Linked DNA regions of Bombyx mori. The protein of the gene in region 2 purifies or fractionates together with the protein of the main gene of each other region. This does not show direct contact. Links are inferred from orthologs where the notes say so. Each region holds a gene or a part of one and is shown on either strand. Other genes may lie near its edges.

What was found.
Region 1: the proteins of DNA topoisomerase 3-beta-1 (region 2) and tudor domain-containing protein 3 purify together in Drosophila melanogaster (affinity purification with western blotting; 3 studies listed by BioGRID, with this or other methods). This does not show direct contact. The link is inferred for Bombyx mori from reciprocal best matches to the Drosophila melanogaster genes Top3beta and Tdrd3.

Annotation. Positions count from the first base shown.
Region 1 is NC_085119.1:13,786,381-13,790,761, reverse strand, and holds the start of tudor domain-containing protein 3, read right to left. Parts: upstream 2,992-4,381; 5' UTR 2,783-2,991; coding exon 2,679-2,782; intron 2,597-2,678; coding exon 2,512-2,596; intron 2,430-2,511; coding exon 2,039-2,429; intron 551-2,038; coding exon 369-550; intron 196-368; coding exon 1-195. Other genes in the region: copper chaperone, read left to right, coding at 4,208-4,216, 4,304-4,381.
Region 2 is NC_085120.1:2,608,586-2,612,412, reverse strand, and holds part of DNA topoisomerase 3-beta-1, read right to left. Parts: coding exon 3,804-3,827; intron 3,342-3,803; coding exon 3,198-3,341; 3' UTR 1-3,197. UniProt on the Drosophila melanogaster protein: Releases the supercoiling and torsional tension of DNA introduced during the DNA replication and transcription by transiently cleaving and rejoining one strand of the DNA duplex.

The DNA.
Region 1 (4,381 bases), on a different chromosome or scaffold from region 2:
TGGATCTTGTTCCTTCTGTGGTTTCTCTTTATTCCTATTTTCAGAGTTGTCTCTTTTCTGCAATATCTTTAGTGCTCTATCAACATTGTTCTTGGTATATTTTAATGTTGCTTCTGCTTGTTCCTCTGTAAACCCTGCATCTACAATCTTTTGAACATTTGCGTCCAGTAAAGGTTTAGTTCCACCACCAAAAACCTGTAAAAAGAAACATTTTTACTTAATCATCTTTGCAGCAAGTAGTGTTTTAGCTCTGCCCTTAATCTTGCCAATTCCATGAGTGATGGTAACAACTTATAATCAGGTGGGCTGCTCGTGAAATGTTGTATGCCTGCAAAGGCAATATAAAACAATAAATATTAAGGACATGCCTTTTTCACACCAGACATCCTCTGTGCCTCAGCAATAGCACCTTTTCTTTGAGCCTCGAACTCTGGATTGTCCTGTTTGGCAGCTTCTTGTAGACTCTTGAACTGTTTGTCCACAGAAAGAGCTTCTAATCTCTGTCCAAATGGAATCCATGGTGGAGGACCTCCTTCAGCTCCTATGCCTCCTTTTATCAGAATGAAATTAATATTATGAGGGTATCAGCTTTTAATTTATAAACATTTTATCTCTCTAACACTATCTCTAACACAATTAAAAATAAATGCAATTTCTATATAGATGCCAGAGGACCAAAGCAATAACATCAACTTAACTAAAAAAATTTGTGTCTATAAATTAGTAATTTTTATTAACATAGTTGCAAGGTTTTTTTAAAGTTACCTTCTATAAAGAGTTTTAAACAGTTTAAAGTAATTTTGAGATATGAAACATCGAAAGCCACGTATAAACCAATTGCTGGCAAGGCGATGCACGATGTCACGTCACCATGCACAAGCAACTGTTTCTTAATATTAATTTTCTATTTTTCATTATTAGTAGTACGCAATAAACAAATGGTTCAACAGAACTAGTTACATTATTTTATTGTTCCCACTTTGTTTAAGAGTGGGAAAGATCCCCAGCATTGAGGATTTTTAATGCAAGGAGGAGGAGGGAAGGATCCAACAAACACTATCCTTTATCTTTCAGGAAGCAGTAACACATTTCAGTTTAAAGGGTGGGGAAGCCTTAAAAATTACATTGTAAAAACTGAGACTTTAGAACACATGTCTCAAGCTGGGTGACAGATTTGTTTTGTTTATGTCTATGGGCTCAAGTAACCACTCATTACTAGGTGGGCTCTGAGCTTGTCCACCCATTTAAGTAGTAAAAACAGAAGCCAGTCAGCCACATCATGCAAATTGTGCAAACACAGTGCCACACTGCTATGCAGACAAGTAGAACCTGAGCAGCTAACCCATCTACATTCACACTGACAGAGGACTGTATTTAATATTTGTTATGTATAAGTATTGGGTTATGGTCCTTAGCTAGTAGTAACTCTAACACATCCATGATTATAAGCCAGCAACAGGTGAACAAATGTTAATGAGCAATATATTATCTAAATCAAGAGTTCTACAGATATTCTACTGCACTATATTTCGTCTGAAACTTATTAGTGTCTGTTATACTAATGGAAAGGCGAAACTGAAATTCATTTTTCTATAAGGACAAAACTACTTTTTATGATAAATATCTGACAATTACCTACTATAATACAACATGTTCCTGTTTCAAAATTAAATTAAAAAAAACTCTATTCTCAACATGAACATAAGACAAAAAACAATATTCTGACTTAGGGCAGTCAAAAGATTAATAAATATATTTGTTTTAGTAAAGTTTATTTTTTCAAGAACCACAATATGGCACCGCTATCTATCGGCCAGAGTCTTAGTTTCATATTGATTAAGTAAATTAACTAGAAACAAGTTCTGACAGGATTCTATTTCGCATTATTTCATGTCCTGCTAGTGGTAAGCAAGTTCTAGCAAGAGTGAGATGTACTGGCACTTTAGGAATAATATTAATTGCAAAAACATAACATTTAGATTATTTAATTGCTGAATAAAATTGATTAAATAAAAGTTTATTTTATTGTTTTGCTTACCTCTTGTGTGTTTGGCAAGACTTCTGTTCAGTTCCCATTTTTCAATCATATGAGATACTGTTCCGCCCAATACAGATATCACTGATGGGGTGAGCCATACCACTCCGTGACAAACTTCTAGCTCTTCATTCTTCAGCAACAACTTAGTTCCAGGTGGGGTGTTTATACTTAGACTGGGTATATGACTTATCTCTAGACCTGTACACGTTACTTTCCCGTCATGCAGGGTTAGCTTCAACATCCGTGGGGCAGATGTTGATTCTTCATTAGCTTTAGGAGCTGACACATTCCTAATCTTCTGAATTTGAACAACAACGGGGCTTTCTAATTTAGACGGATCCTTGACAAAGTCTTCAGGTAACGATCCTTCGCTGATGTCTCTCAAATCGTACTACAAATTTGAAAATTGTCATGTATGTTTAGTTGGTTATTATTGAAATTGGGTTGCGAATCCAATTAGATTTAATACTTACGTCTAAAGCTTTTTTGCTAAGAATGTTTACATCTTGAATTTGACCATTTTCGGTTATCGTATCGATGCCTTCTTCGGTCAAATGCCTGGAAAAACCAAACCCTTACTTTAGATCTAAAAGCACGGTGGCAAATAACATCAATAAATTTAAAGCGCTAATTAATTTACCAGCCCAGTTCCTTAAGAGTTTCCCGTAATGACATGTTTTGATTTAAGGTCAAATTAACATTATTCTGCGAGAATGAATTGAAAATAATAAGGCCCACGGACATACGGCACCATGACAGTACAAGGCATAGATTATACACTTAAAACAAGGTAAGCACAGACTAATCAAGGTTGATAGTGGGCATCTCTTAATCAGTAGCCCACAAAATCTGGTAAAGATGGCGCTAAAAGCTAGTATTTACAAAATGCTTTTTATTTTCCTACTTAAGCTAATAGCCTTGAGAGGCTATTTCAGCTTCGCCTTAACGTGTAGGTGAGCTCACGGAGCTCAAACTGAAAGTACTGCTAACATGGCCCTAAAAGGAGCAGTGCTTCCTCGCACAGTGACGCTGATATGGTCTCTCAAAACCATCAGCATAGGTAGGAAAAAAAAACAAAAAAGCAGAATCTACCACCGGATCGGAAAACCGACCCACAGATGTGGCGAGAAACTCAGCGAGCTGTGTATATATGGGTTAATTTACTGTCATTATTTTGATTTTAGTATTGATAATAAAATATAAAGACAGTGGCGATTTTTTTCCTACCTAAGCTAAGAGCCTTGAGAAGCTATATCAGCTTAGCCTTAACTAGTAGGTGAGCTCACGGGGCTCAAACCTGATGACGTTGCTAACACGAACCCTAGCAAGAGCCGTGCTTCGCAGAATCTACCACCGGATCGGAAACGCGACCCAGTGAGAAGATCCGGCGAGAAACTCAGTGGGCTGTGTCTGAGGGTTAATTTACTCGTCGAGCCCTTCGTCGCAAGCGACGGGTTCGACGGAAGTACAATAATAGGCGCTAGAGGAAGAGCGCCAGCTAGATGGGTGGACCAACTCAAGGAGGTGACTGGAGGCCAGATACGGGGAGCGGTACATATGGCGCAGAACCGGACCGAGTGGAGAAGATTGACATACAGTCACGATTCTCAGCATTGAGGGAACGACCAGAAAGAAAGAAGATAATATTAGAGAATGCAAGTATAAAAAGCAAGTGAAATCAAAATTCAACTAACACGGACGTTAATTTAATTGAAACTAGTAAAATTAGCAACAAAAATCCAAAGATAAATTTAAGAGGCGGCATAGTATGAGATTGTAAGGCCCTCCGCCCATCTCAATGCAGTCTGGAGAAAAGTTTGTATGACACTTATGACAGTCCCGTCCATTATCTCCGTCCGTCTCTTTCTAACATTGTGTTTTTAATAATTGAATACAAAGCAGAATAGCTAACATAGCCTATTTACACAAGTCTACTTTCGAATTCGAACTAGTTATCAGGGTTTTATCAGTTTCTGATTCTGTGCTAAGTGTATTGCTATAGACGTCCGCGAGAGACTACAGAAATATACCGCCAGAACATTATCCTCAATTAATTTTATCAATATTTGATAAATGATAAGATCCTAAAAAGTTCAATCACTTATTGAGTGTTCGTCAAAGCCGTCGTATTCATTATTTCATATAGTATACGTGTACAGTTACAGTAAAATGACTACGGTAAAAAATGACTCAAATATATTTATGTAGCTTTGAAGAATTCTATTTATTTTTATTATATGTTTACAATTAATATTTTATTTCTAGACACACATATTCAACGTAGAAATGACCTGTGAAGGTTGTTCTGGCGCCGTCGAACGAGTTCTCAACAGACTGAAGGGG
Region 2 (3,827 bases):
CTAGCGGCAAACGTAGGCCAACATTCCAATTGCATACAAATGTGAGTTAACTTTTACGCTATCGAGAACGTTAAATAGCTCGCACTAAACAAGCACACAGAATAAACAAAACGGCGTCGTGTTCTAATCAGCGTCAACTATCGCATTACGAATTCGAGCACCTACCTACCGCTCAAGCTTATATCAATTGACACATAATGCATTGGGGCTATTAAGGACACATAAATGACCACTAACTTTAGTAGCGTTCAAGCTAAAACAATACTGTCAACCATAACCAATCTGAAGTGATAATTAGAAGCTCCGTACAATGGAACACTAAACCGACTGAGTTGCAGCACCTAAGCAACCAAAACACGAGGTCAAATAAAACATTACATAGTTGATGACATTCATTTATATATTATAAATACAAATGTTACACACGCGTATACAAATATAACCAAATATGCGTCTCGGGACGCCCGACACAAGTGATAGCTTAAGCTAATCTAAGTTGAACTATTTAACTTGAGAAAATCTTAGGTTATTACTTAAATTTTATGTATCTTAATATGATAATGTAAGGAAAATTGTAACATGAATTGAAAAATAATCGACGCTTGAAAGGCAAACGTGACTAAGCGACAATAACTGCTTTGTACATAAATGATGGGCAATAACCATATTCGATGCGCAGAAAAAATATATTTCTAGGTCTATTAATATCATTTCAATCCTACAGCTACTAGCTAGATTCTACTACAGCTAGATTCGTTAAAATAAATTTTGTTTTCAGGTATTTCAAATTTAAATTAGTCTACTGTAAAGTTCACGCATTGTCGCTTAGTTACGTTTGTTTTTCAAGCGTCGATATGTAAATAGTTACGAGTTACATACGTCCTCTGTACCGATGCCGTATGCGTGAGTGAGAGAGAGAGAGAGAGAGAGAGAGAGAGAGAGAGAGAGAGAGAAGCTAGACAGACTAACGCCGTAACGCGTTACGTAACGTACCGGTTTACCGAAATTATCACTTCAAAAGCATAATAATGGTTGATTCGAATTGTTCTTATATCAAGAAACATACAAACTATAGACTTATTAATAGATTAACTTGTAAGCGTTAACTTGTAAGTCTTGCTCTACGTAAGCGACGATATCATATTCACAAATAAAACAAGCTCTATTTCTATAATACAACATTATCAAACCATACAAAATTTAATAGATTAGAAAGAGACATGATTTAATCAGCATATGTTATACATGAACACTACAGTACAACTACGTATGTATGCTACAGACATTCAACAGAGTGCTTAGTGCGAGTTTTTTAACGTTCTCGATAGCGTAAAAGTTAACCCAATTTTGTGTGCATTTGAAACAGCGCCCCTAGCGGCAAACGTAGGCAAACGATCCCATTCTAAATCATAACTTTTACGTTATCGAGAACGTTAAAAAACTCGCACTAAGCACACAGAGTATGATTTTAAAACTCAATTGAAAATCCCTTAATGACACAGATCTCTAAGGTTTCTCCCGATCCATTAACGGTGCTTTTAGGTACCTCAAACACCGGTCACCGTCCTCACCGAACTCCTGGCTTGCGACGAAGGGCTCGACGAGTGAATTAACCCACAGACACAGCCCACTGAGTTTCTCGCCGGATCTTCTCAGTGGGTCGCCTTTCCGATCCGGTGGTAGATTCTGCGAATCACGGCTCTTGCTAGGGCCTGTGTTAGCAACACTCCCGGTTTGAGCCCCGTGAGCTCATCTACTCACCCAGTTACGCTGACATAGCCTCTCAAGGCTATCAGCTTAGGTAGATTAAAAAAAAAAGTTTCTTCGCCAGTTCGCCCCACTTTGGAACTGCAAGGGGCGTGAGCAATATACACACATATACACAATACGTGTAGTGCCTTTCAATAATAATTATATCGTAACTAGCTGACCCGGCAGGCTTCGTAGTGCCTCAATCGAGAAATAAAAGACCTAAACTTTTGTATAAAATAAACTTAAAACAAACAAAAGGAATCCGTACGACGGGGGACACACACATCAAAGCAAAAACAAAATCATTATTTTTATGTAATTCCGAGCATTTTCAAATTTATCTACCTTTTGAACCTTCTCTGGACTTCCGCAGATAATTCAAGACCAAAATTAGCCCAATCGGTCCAGCCGTTCTCGAGTTTTAGCGAGACTAACGAACAGCAATTCATTTTTATATATACATATACCGTAATTACAAACACGACATAGGAAATGTAAACTTTATTTACTATGATTAAAAACTACATTTGCGGTTCGGTTTTGCGGGTTTTAGCGTCCTAGTGTATTCTCTAGACTCTAGACTCTTTCGAGCTTTGTAAACATTCCGTAAAGGTAAAAATCTATATATTTTTTAATAGTATATTAGTTACTTAGCGTAATAATCCAATGTTAATAAATAATCTTACGGCTTAGTCGTCAGTGTGACCATGAGAACTGCACAGCATTCGAGGCGCCGCAAATAATATAATGACAATAATAGACGATAGGTTAAACCATTCATGTAGCTTTAGTTATGTCGCAAACACTGAAGTAAATACTTTACATAATTAATATAATGTAATAGTTTGACTGACTCGGTGGTGCAGTAGTTAGCGCTCCTGGCTGTTGCGCCGAGGGTCGTGGGTTCGATTCCCACATTGAGCAAACATTCGTGTGATGAACAGCTTTGTTTGCTCTTCGCCTGTTTATTATCTATATATGTACTTATTTAAAAAAACTTGTATAAGTATGTATGTCAATCTCTGGTACCCGTAATATAGGAAATCCTAAATTAGGGGCTGGATGACCATGTGTGATTCGCTCCCGATTATTATTAATTTATTTAAATAAAAACATTAAAACGCTATTTCATCGAAGCTATTACCATGAACATAAAGACGATTTTAACACGAATCAAATAGCATACTTATCGACATCTTAAATGCATAATATTGTATGTCCATGACCAGAGCCATCCCAAATCAAAAATTATAATCGAACAAGATTACGTTTCTAATGTTTCTCTAAAGATTAGTCGGTAGTAGAGCAAAGAGTACACACGTAAAACACATGTCAAGTGCTAGCAATAAAATCGATTTTAGCAACTCGTTCGTATTGGAGTTGCGACGTTTTGTCACGCGACGCGCGGCTCACGTTCCCGGGGGGAGGAGGGTGAGGGCGGCTGGTCATACAAAGTACGCGGCCAGGAGCGCCATCTTGTCCTTGGGCTGCTTGGCCCGGTGCTTGTGCACCCGCGGCCGCCCGCCCCGCCCCGCGCCCCGCGCCGCCCCGCCGCCCGCGCGTGACGTCACCGCACGGTGCTTCTCAACCTGCGACAAGTTTTTTTTTTGTTATTGCCTTTATAGGCAGACGAGCGTACGGCCCACCTGATGTTAAGTGGTTACCGTCGCCCATGGACTTCAGCAATGCCAGGAGCAGAGCCAAGCCGCTGCCTACTGCTTAATACTCTCCACAAGTCTTGTTTGAAGAGGACATGTCATAGCGCTCGGGAAACACCGAGGAGGGGAGCTCATTCCATAGCCGGGTGGTACGTGGCAAATAGCCGGATGGTATAGTTTACATGCGCTGATTTTAATTATACATCGTAAGGGATTTTAATAGAAACTAAAACATAATTTTTGTAAAATGGTAATAATTTGTGCATTAAGACATTTACAATGTAGGGGTAGGTGTAGTAGGGATAGGGATATGTTAGTATATGAGATGTTAGCTCGTCGTTCATTTTGGCCTGAAATGACGTCACAAATAATGTTATTTCGGCTTGCACTGACCAGGGCGCTGAAGATGGGCTCGCA